2 linked regions of the Arabidopsis thaliana genome follow. The protein of the gene in region 2 interacts with the protein of the main gene of each other region in a pairwise test. Each region holds a gene or a part of one and is shown on either strand. Other genes may lie near its edges. The genes, in order: AT1G57720 and AT2G18110.

What was found.
Region 1: the proteins of AT2G18110 (region 2) and AT1G57720 interact in a two-hybrid assay, tested with the Arabidopsis thaliana proteins (one large-scale study listed by BioGRID).

Annotation. Positions count from the first base shown.
Region 1 is NC_003070.9:21,375,633-21,381,128, forward strand, and holds AT1G57720 (Translation elongation factor EF1B, gamma chain), read left to right. Parts: upstream 1-1,687; 5' UTR 1,688-2,088; intron 2,089-2,102; exon of another isoform or gene 2,103-2,191; 5' UTR 2,192-2,240; coding exon 2,241-2,249; intron 2,250-2,524; coding exon 2,525-2,674; intron 2,675-2,752; coding exon 2,753-2,813; intron 2,814-2,906; coding exon 2,907-2,959; intron 2,960-3,070; coding exon 3,071-3,172; intron 3,173-3,310; coding exon 3,311-3,797; intron 3,798-4,102; coding exon 4,103-4,482; 3' UTR 4,483-4,747; downstream 4,748-5,496. Other genes in the region: AT1G57730 (RING/U-box superfamily protein), read right to left, coding at 5,226-5,496. UniProt on the Arabidopsis thaliana protein: Probably plays a role in anchoring the complex to other cellular components.
Region 2 is NC_003071.7:7,870,299-7,874,626, reverse strand, and holds AT2G18110 (Translation elongation factor EF1B/ribosomal protein S6 family protein), read right to left. Parts: upstream 2,427-4,328; 5' UTR 2,320-2,426; intron 2,018-2,319; 5' UTR 1,992-2,017; coding exon 1,909-1,991; intron 1,805-1,908; coding exon 1,688-1,804; intron 1,605-1,687; coding exon 1,387-1,604; intron 1,298-1,386; coding exon 1,022-1,297; intron 916-1,021; coding exon 914-915; 3' UTR 617-913; downstream 1-616. Other genes in the region: AT2G18100 (transmembrane/coiled-coil protein (DUF726)), read right to left, coding at 3,290-3,403, 3,490-3,547, 3,624-3,694, 3,817-3,893, 3,971-4,053, 4,167-4,226, 4,327-4,328. UniProt on the Arabidopsis thaliana protein: EF-1-beta and EF-1-delta stimulate the exchange of GDP bound to EF-1-alpha to GTP.

The sequences.
Region 1 (5,496 bases), on a different chromosome or scaffold from region 2:
CTGAATCGAATTTTATCCTTCTGACTTAATATTTCTCACACTCACTCACTCTCTCAATCTCTCAAGAACCACCAAAGAAAGAAAAACAGAACAAGAACAGAGGATCCAAGAAATAGGAAGAAGAAAAGACGTGAGGCTTTTACGATTTCGGGACTTGATTGAGATCCCTACGTTACGTAATACTTGCAATTCACTATCTTCTCAGTAACTGAATTTCTCACACGAAATTACATATGTTAAAATGTATATATATATCATACACAAGATGGATCCTTGCTCTACCTTTTTATAGCATGCTTTGTTACAACAACTTTTTTTTTAATTTGGTTGTTGTAAAACTTTGTTTCAACAATTATAACAGCCTTTTAACATAACATGGACATTAAACCAAACCTAAAGCGAGTCTACAGCAGCTCAATTATCGGTTCTAATCCGATATGCACATAGCCAACCCACGGTTAAAAGTTGATTTCATTTGATTTCCATCACCAAGGTCAACACTATCAACGTTTTTTGTTTTTTTTGGTCTAACTATCAAAGTTTAATTTCCCATAATATGAAGCTAACCATGCAATGTTGTAAACCCGAATTACATTTTGGTTTCTTAGACTTGATGATGAGTTGATGACTAATTGAAAACAAATTTAAGAGCTTACTAGTGTTCTCTCCAATGCTTCTTTTTTTTTAAATTGGAATTGATCACACACATATATATATTTACGCATATATGTATATATGGATGTGAACAATTAGTATTATTTTACAATAATAGTAAAAAAAAAAATGAACTTACAAATTACAAACCAAACTTGACGATATATGCATGCTCTTTGAGATCATCACACGAGTTGGTCGGAGCCACCTTTCGCAGTCTTGTCTGCTTCGGCTGGTCCATGTTTTTTCTCGGCTTTACTATCTGCGATTCTCTCTCGAGGGCTACACAAGATTCTTCCCAGAAAATGGGAAGCAATTGCCAAGAATATGATCACTATGACGATCAAACACCATTGCCAGATTGGAACCTCCATATCTTTAGTTTGGATTTTTGGTCACACAAAGTAAACGCAGTGCAGAAGAAGAAGAGGCGGAAGATGCTTGAAATTAAAGTTGTTGGTACTGTTGACCAAAAGGAGTAAGTTGTGAAGAAATGATACGCAAAGACTTGTGGAAGGTAACCAATTTTGTAAACTTCGTAGAAGAAATCGAACTCAATAAAAAAACATCTATATATGTATGACATACGAACAATAACATAGTTTAGTGGACCTACCAATAATGCCCTCTAATAGTTTTGGAAGCTACTTAATTAAAAGATTTTATTTCATTTTCACAAAGTGAAAGAAGGGTTACAAAATTCATCAATTTTGTATTTATTCAAACCCATACTTGGAGTTGGTGTATCAAAAACCTAATTATATTAATTGGCATTGTACGTGGTAACGTTTTAGTTTACATCTATGGATCAATCTTGCATAATAAGTTAATAACCCTTTTGAATTTAAAAAGCACAACACAACTTATTTTTAAAAAGGATATATCATTTTCGGATTTAAAGTTTAGTTTGTATGGTCTAAAACTTTGTTTTTGGTTGTCGTTTAGGATATCTTGGAGAGGAAGAAACCACATAGAGACATGAATCAGAGAAGTAACTTTGTGAGGTTGCTTCTACGAATTTCGATGAACTAGTGTTTCTTTTTCTTCTTTTTCAACAACATGCGAGTTTGGCACACCAAGGATATGGATACAACCAACTAAACTACATATCAAAATGGCCATGGGGAAATGTCAGCAAAATCTGTCAAAAAATGCAAAAACAAAACTCCAACTTTACTTTGGGTAAAACAATACGCTAATTTTTATTATGTTATACATAAATGCAAAAGTTATAATCGTTTAAACCTTAAAAATAAGCAAACCAAATTTGACAAAACCAAAAGCTAAACCGAATCAAACGAAAAAGGAATATTCTCCAAAACCGACTTCACACAGCCCTAATTTCCACACTCTAATACTATTTCTCGCCGCCGCTTTTGTATCTTCTTCTCTCTCGCTTTGCTCTCTCGGAATTGTTTTTGCAGAAAGTCTCTCGTAAGAATCAATCTATCAACTTCTTCTTCATATACGCTTCTCTCGTTTCAAAATTTCATCGACGATTAACTGATTTTTACTTGGTGTTTTCTTTGGTAACTAGATCTGAACTCAGAAAATCTCCGAGTTCGTATATCTTCTCCGTTTGAGCAATGGCGTTGGTAAGTACTCACTTCTGAGATCATTACACGTTTCATCAGATCCGTCACGATTGGTTTTACTGATCTGTTGATGATAGTTTATGAATTTTGATTCATGTATCTTAAATCTGGGAATATAGTTTGATTTTAGAATGATTTAGGTATCTTGGACGATTGTTTATTAATCTGAGAACTGGATTTTGTGTTGCATTGAAAAACTACTTTGGATGAATATAACTATGCAATTTCTGTTGAGTTTCATTGATGAAGTTTGTGTAAATCATACTATTTATCAGGTCATGCACACATACAAGGGAAACAAAGGTGCCAATAAGGCACTTATTGCTGCAGAGTATGCGGGTGTGAAGATCGAGGAGTCCGCAGACTTTCAGATGGGCGTCACTAACAAGTCACCTGAGTTCCTTAAGATGAACCCTATTGGAAAGGTATGGAATCTCTTTCGAGAAGTTTTGATTGATGTTTGCTGTAAATTCCTAGCTAATAAAAGATTATGATCCCACTAGGTTCCTGTGCTTGAGACTCCTGAAGGTCCCATATTTGAGAGCAATGCCATTGCCCGATATGGTATAACTTCATTTCCTTCTGTTTCTCTTTGATGCACCTATCTATAACTTGGTATTAATTGGATATGATGATTGTTTTGTTATCCCCCTTCAGTGAGCCGTAAGAATGGTGACAACTCTTTGAATGGATCCTCCCTTATTGAATACGTAAGCTCCTGTTTATCCAATGGCCTTTCCTTTTAAAATTATCGTACCTTTGTGTTTATCTCTTGTTTACTATCATTGATTCATGTCTATGTGCATGTGTTTACTTTTCAGGCTCACATTGAGCAATGGATCGATTTCTCCTCATTGGAGATTGATGCTAACATGTTGAAGTGGTTTGCTCCAAGAATGGGCTATGCTCCCTTCTCTGCCCCAGTAAGCTTTCCCTCATTTTTTGTGCCTTGTCTCATGCACTCTCTGTACTAACAAATCATGCTACTCCTTACTCGCTAAGATTAGTATTTGACTAGTCTAAGCTTGACTAATCTTTTTAATGGTTTTATCTGAATGAAGGCTGAGGAAGCGGCAATTTCTGCATTGAAGAGAGGACTTGAGGCTCTGAACACACATCTCGCCTCCAACACTTTCCTTGTTGGACACTCTGTCACCCTTGCTGATATTGTCACAATCTGCAACTTGAACTTGGGATTTGCCACCGTGATGACCAAGAAATTTACCTCTGCATTCCCTCATGTTGAGAGATACTTCTGGACAATGGTTAACCAGCCAGAATTCAAGAAGGTGTTGGGTGATGCCAAACAAACCGAAGCTGTCCCTCCAGTTCCTACTAAGAAAGCTCCACAGCCTGCTAAGCCCAAGGAGGAGCCCAAGAAGGCAGCCCCTGTAGCAGAGGCACCAAAGCCTGCTGAGGAGGAGGAAGCACCAAAGCCTAAAGCCAAGAATCCTCTTGACTTGCTACCACCAAGCCCAATGGTTCTCGATGACTGGAAGAGGCTTTACTCGAACACCAAATCCAACTTCCGTGAGGTTGCTATCAAAGGTATGTTATATGATGACTTCTGTTAATTGTTCTTTAGAAGAAATTGTTCTAGGTTTATGGAATCAACTTGTTAAGAAGAAAGCTACAAAAATCCGAGACAATGTGCTGTGACATCCTTATAATACCAGTGCTTACTAACGACTCTCTAAACAATTCACAGCTGCTCTAGTCTACTAAATTGCCTCCTAAGCTAGATATAGTAGACTTAGAGGGGTACTCACTATGGTTTATGGGACATGTATGGCCCAGAGTCTGAAAGTACATTCTATTAAGCTCAATGCCTTGAATGTTTTTCTTCATTGCAGGATTCTGGGACATGTATGACCCGGAGGGGTACTCACTATGGTTCTGTGACTATAAGTACAACGATGAGAACATGGTCTCCTTTGTTACACTCAACAAGGTAGGAGGGTTCCTTCAGCGTATGGACTTGGCACGTAAATACTCCTTTGGAAAGATGCTTATTTGCGGGTCAGAGGGTCCTTTCAAGGTGAAGGGTTTATGGCTTTTCCGTGGACCAGAGATCCCCAAGTTCATAATGGATGAGGTGTACGACATGGAGCTGTACGAGTGGACTAAGGTTGATATCTCCGATGAAGCACAGAAGGAGCGTGTTAGCCAGATGATTGAAGACGCTGAGCCATTTGAAGGCGAGGCTCTTTTGGACGCCAAATGCTTTAAGTGAAAAGGCTCTTTGTATCTCCGTAGAGGTTTACTCTGTTACTCGTGTTTTGATACCTTCTAGAGAGTCCTTACCACCTTTTGAATCGTACTCGGGTTTAAGAACTAGTTGCTTCTCAATGTTATTTTGACAGAATATTGTTCTTAAATACATTACAACTTCTAGTTATTGTTTTTATTTTGTTTTTTATTATCCAAACTCGTGTGTGTGACATTCTCTCTTTAAATTAGTTGCTTGGAAGATGCAAAGAATCTCGTTTAATGGGGCATACTGAATTTCATTTTAAAGTTGTAATATTACACGTCTCTAACTTGTCTCTAACACGTCTCTAACTTGATGATTCAGATATGTTCACTAAAACCCAAATTCCTTTTAAGCCAATCGAATGTTGGTCTACACAGCAACATTTAAGAGATAGGTGTAAGAAATAGAGCCATGAGGTGAGCTTATAAGGAGAGTGTATGTTGAACATGTTCATAGATATTAGGTCCGAGAGGCTTAAAATCACTCAAGTTTATTAAGATGAGAAGATATACCAAGTAAACCTAATTCGTTCTCTACAAAGAGTTTAATGACCAAAATAAACAAAAGGTAGATTAAGATCTTGTCTTAAGAAAATCAAATAAATCGAATCATTACTATATTATCTCAAACAAATCGAATCATTACAATATCATCTCAAGAAAATCAACAAATCATCATTCTTAACCTAAAAACCCTAAAAAAAGAAATCTTCATGACTCTGTTTAGGAGTAGTAGGGATAATCGTCGTCATCTTCATCTTCAAGAACAGTGCGGCAGAGAGGGCACAAATTACTATGACCCAACCATTTGTAGATACAGTCATTATGAAAGACATGGGGACAATTCGGCATCTCCTGATAGTCATGTACATCCTGTGACATATCCTCCAAACAAATAGCGCATGTCTTGTTTTCTAGAGGAGAACTAGAAGTGGATTCTTCGACGAATCTCACTGTGACGTGAAGGTACATGTCAAACGGCGCTGGAACTCGT
Region 2 (4,328 bases):
GTCCTTTCCCATCTCCTTTGCCATTTCCTCTTCTTCCTACTCTACCGCTTCCTCCTCCTCCTGCTCCACCATCTCCCGAACTTCCTCCTGCTCCATTACAACCTTCACAGCTTCCTTCTCCACCGGTACAACCTCCACAGTCTCTTTCTCTTCCTCTGCAGATTTCGCAGCCTCCTTCTTCTACATCACCTTCTTGCACTCTTCGTGCTTTGTTATGTCCACCACTTTCAAACGTTTTGTTGGAACCCAAAACGGAAGATTGATCACTACTATTAAAATATCTCCTCACGGGTCTATATCGCAGCCCGTGGACAGAGCTTGAACTCAACAACAACACAGCACCAGAACCTAACAAGAACACCACAAAGCTTGACATTTTCACCAATATCTCTATCGAGAATTTTCTCAAGTAAAAGTCATCTCCATTCCCATCCTTTTTATAACCCAAATCAAGACCACAATAATTATAGTGAGCAACCAAAATGAGCATGCATTACCCATATGAAACCTACCATTTTTTTTGTGGGAACTAAAGAATACAAAAAAGATATGACTTCAGAAATATTGCGTCACACCCAAGGTCCTTGTTCTAGCCTTCTCATATTCTCTGATTGTTAGAAATTTTTGTAAACATAATCTTCTTTGCAATACTAAATTATGCGTACTTGTATTTATTTTAAACATACGTGCATTCTTGCTTCACACTTTCTGTGATGTTATCAAACTTATGATTTTTCGTATTTGAGATTTGGTGGAAACTTTAAGACAAAACTGAATTGTCTTCACATATATCAAAATGAATCAGAGTTGGTAAAAGCCCTCCCACAGAGTACAATAAAAACAGGTAACAAAACTGGATATAGAGAAGAAAACAACAACATAAACAGTTCTTCCTTCAAGCTATTCTCCATCCTCCTGCATTATGATTCAATTCAATATCCAACAGTTAGTTACACACCAAATTATCGTATAAAACAATCTCAGCATTCTAAGTAGTTGAGAAAAGGTTCGTGTAACTTACATATCTTGTTGAAGGCAACAATGTCACAACTCTGGACATATTCATTGATCGGTTCAACAGTGAGTTGCTCTTCGATCATGGTGTCGATAGATACAAGGTCATCAACAATGGTGCACATGATGTGCAACTTCTTGATACCGTAACCAACGGGTACAAGCTTTGATGCTCCCCAAAACAATCCTTCCATCTGAATGGATCTTACAGCTTCCTCTAGCTTCTTCATGTCCGTCTCATCATCCCACGGCTTGATATCCATCAAAACTGATGACTTTCCGGCTGATTAAGAAAAGAAAGAAACCAGATGAGAAATCCAAGACATCATTATATCGTAAACTACAGGTGTAAAGGCAAAAACACAAACTTACATTCTTTCTTCTTTGTAGATGCCTTCACAGAAGCTGCTCTCTCTTCAGCAGCTTTCTTTTCCTCTTCGGTCTCCTCCCCGAAAAGGTCAACATCATCATCATCTTCTTCTTCAGCAGCAGTATCCTTAGAATCAGCTGCAGGGGGAGTAGCAACAGCCTCTTCTGTGATAGGTGATGACCCTTCAACAATGACACCACTTCCTTCAGCAGAGACACCACTGTAAATAGAGAGACAGGTTATAAGAAAACAACACTAGACAAAAACTTTAATTGGTAAAAAACAGAAGGCAATGGAGCTTACGAGATCCTCAAGAGGGCATCGATGTGGTTGAACCAACGAGATACATTGACAAACTCTGAAGTTGGGGGCTTTGAAAGAGCTGTAAACACAGTGATATCATCCTTTGAAGCTTGGTACCTATAAACATACATACATAGAGAGACAGAAGAAAGTAATGGTTACTACTATTGTTTCAAAACAAGATAGATAATTGAGACAGCCCTTAGAAAACAGATTCTAACCCAGTGATGTAACTGCGAGTGAGAAGATGCTCATCGAGCTTCTTCAATCCGGAGCCAGAGTTGAGGTTGGGGAAAGCCGCCATTGTTTCTAAAGCTCGAAACTTTTTCACTGATATAAAGCAGAGAGATCAGATCAGATCAGATCAGATCAAGTAAGGAAAAACCCACCAACGATTCATCAAAAACGAAACTTTCTATTTCATAAAACCAGATCATGACAACAGAAGATCTAAAAGACGAACCATTGGGTTAAAACGTATGAACAACAATAAGAATGCTAATCAACTAGATTTAGATTCACAAACACCGAAATTTAAATTCTAATCACATAATCCCAAAGTTGCATAATTTGAGGTCGAAACAAACCCTAATTGGAGGCGAAAGAAGAATTGAATCGAAGAAGCAACAAACCTGTAGCAATAAAGGAGCCGACTTGAAGAGGGAGAGCAAGAGAGAGAGACGTAGTGGAGGAATTAGCGTCGAGAAGGTGATGTATTTAACCCTCTGAGATTTTTGTGTAATGGGCCGAATTTGGGCCTAACATTTACATTTTAGCGGATTAATTCTCTATCCATTCTGATTTTTGCCATTTGTTTTTTGTATGGATGACACCGAATTAGAAATATGCAAAAATGTACATGTTACATATTAAGAACCTATTTTACCTATTTTCAAATATAATAACTAAAATAATTATCAAATTTTTTATAACACTTAAAATAAACTAAAATATTTTTTTCCAATTTTGTTGGCTTATGAATTAATCAAGTTCGATTGTTTAAGATGATTTTTTTTTTTTTTTTGAATTCTCAAAAAACAGTAACCACACAATCACACATGTACGTTTCTTGCATATTATTATTCTAGCAAGCGAAACAGTATAAAATTTTAGTTTTCACATGTACGTCTGTGAATTTGGGTGATATAAAAATTGATAGATAGGGCCAATGTTATCAACATGTACATCATCATCTACTATCGCCGTACAGAGAGAAAACTAGGAAAAAGCCAAAGTATAAAGGCGACGACGTAAAACTAACTACAAAAATATGTTGAAAGTTCAATAAGACAACAAGGGACTAAAAGCTCGTTTATTATGTCAACATGTATAGTATGTTTGTTTGTTTTTGGTCAACATAGTTTCTCCGATGGTTTTTTCGGGTAAAAAATTAGAACATGTAGGGTTTCAAAATGAGGGAAGTTTTCATGTAAACAATTGTGGGAATGTGGAAGTGTATAATATATACGCACATGAGGAGAAAATGAGAGAAGAAGGGCAATGATGTTTCGTTTTACCTGATTCAGCAGTCATGAGGGTTAATCTAGTCTATGAAACTGGGTGAAAATGGGATATGGTCCTAGTAATAAATGTTGGGTTTAGTTAGAGAGTGTTTCGAAAAACAGGGTAAGAATTGTCGAGTTCGAGTCTTTCCAGGATTTGTTGAGTTTTCCATAGGTAAGATGAGTGACCTTCCACCATATCCGTTACATCTACCTACAAATGTGATGATGATTACTCTGATTGTTTCTATCATTTTCACTTCCTACGAATTGAAGATGAGAGTAAATGAGATGACTTACATCTTCAATCCCCGGTATACAGACCGGTTGGATTCCAGCTAATCCTTGGGACAACAGACTGCAGAATTTAATAAGGAAAAAAGAGTTTGGATTTGCAGGTGAAAGGGGGGATCGAAGAACACAATTCAACATACCTTGCACGAAATGCAACTCCGAGGGTCCAGTCATTTGTGGCGTAAACATTAATGAATCTTCCAGCCACCATCTGGTAACCCATAAAAAAACTCGTATAAGATGATACAGAACACCAAAAGACGGATCTGTTTCCTAGACTGTGACACCAACTCTTGTTAATGGTAGGGAACTCTCATCAAGAAGGTTTATTACCTTTCTTACGTCTCGCCAATTCTCATTCTTGATTGAAATTGGTGCTCCAAGAAGAACAACTCTTTCCACAATTTCAGCTACCGTGAAAAATGTGTTAAAGACAAGAATCAATTGTCAATTCTAAAGCAAAGATAAATATTGAGTGGAGAAATACCATTCTTTTCAGTCTCTGCCAGAGTCTGGAGGCACTTAAAGACAACACGTGCACCAAGCGAAAAACCAACCAGAGTCACAGGTCTGAATTTCTCACAAGTTTTCCAATGTAAGAGAATCAACATGCTGATGTAAAATACTAATTGCACAACTTTCTATCATAAAGATATATGATGGAATTTATCCAATAATTATACCTATTTCCTTGCAACCCTTTTCGAAGCGCTTCAGCAAGAAGCTTCCCTGCTTTGTCTGACCTGAAATAAGATAATACGAAAATAATAGCACATAAACTTACTTGCAGTACTGGTTTCATCACATTTGGCATTTCAGTTTCATCAAATATTTTCATTTTACCT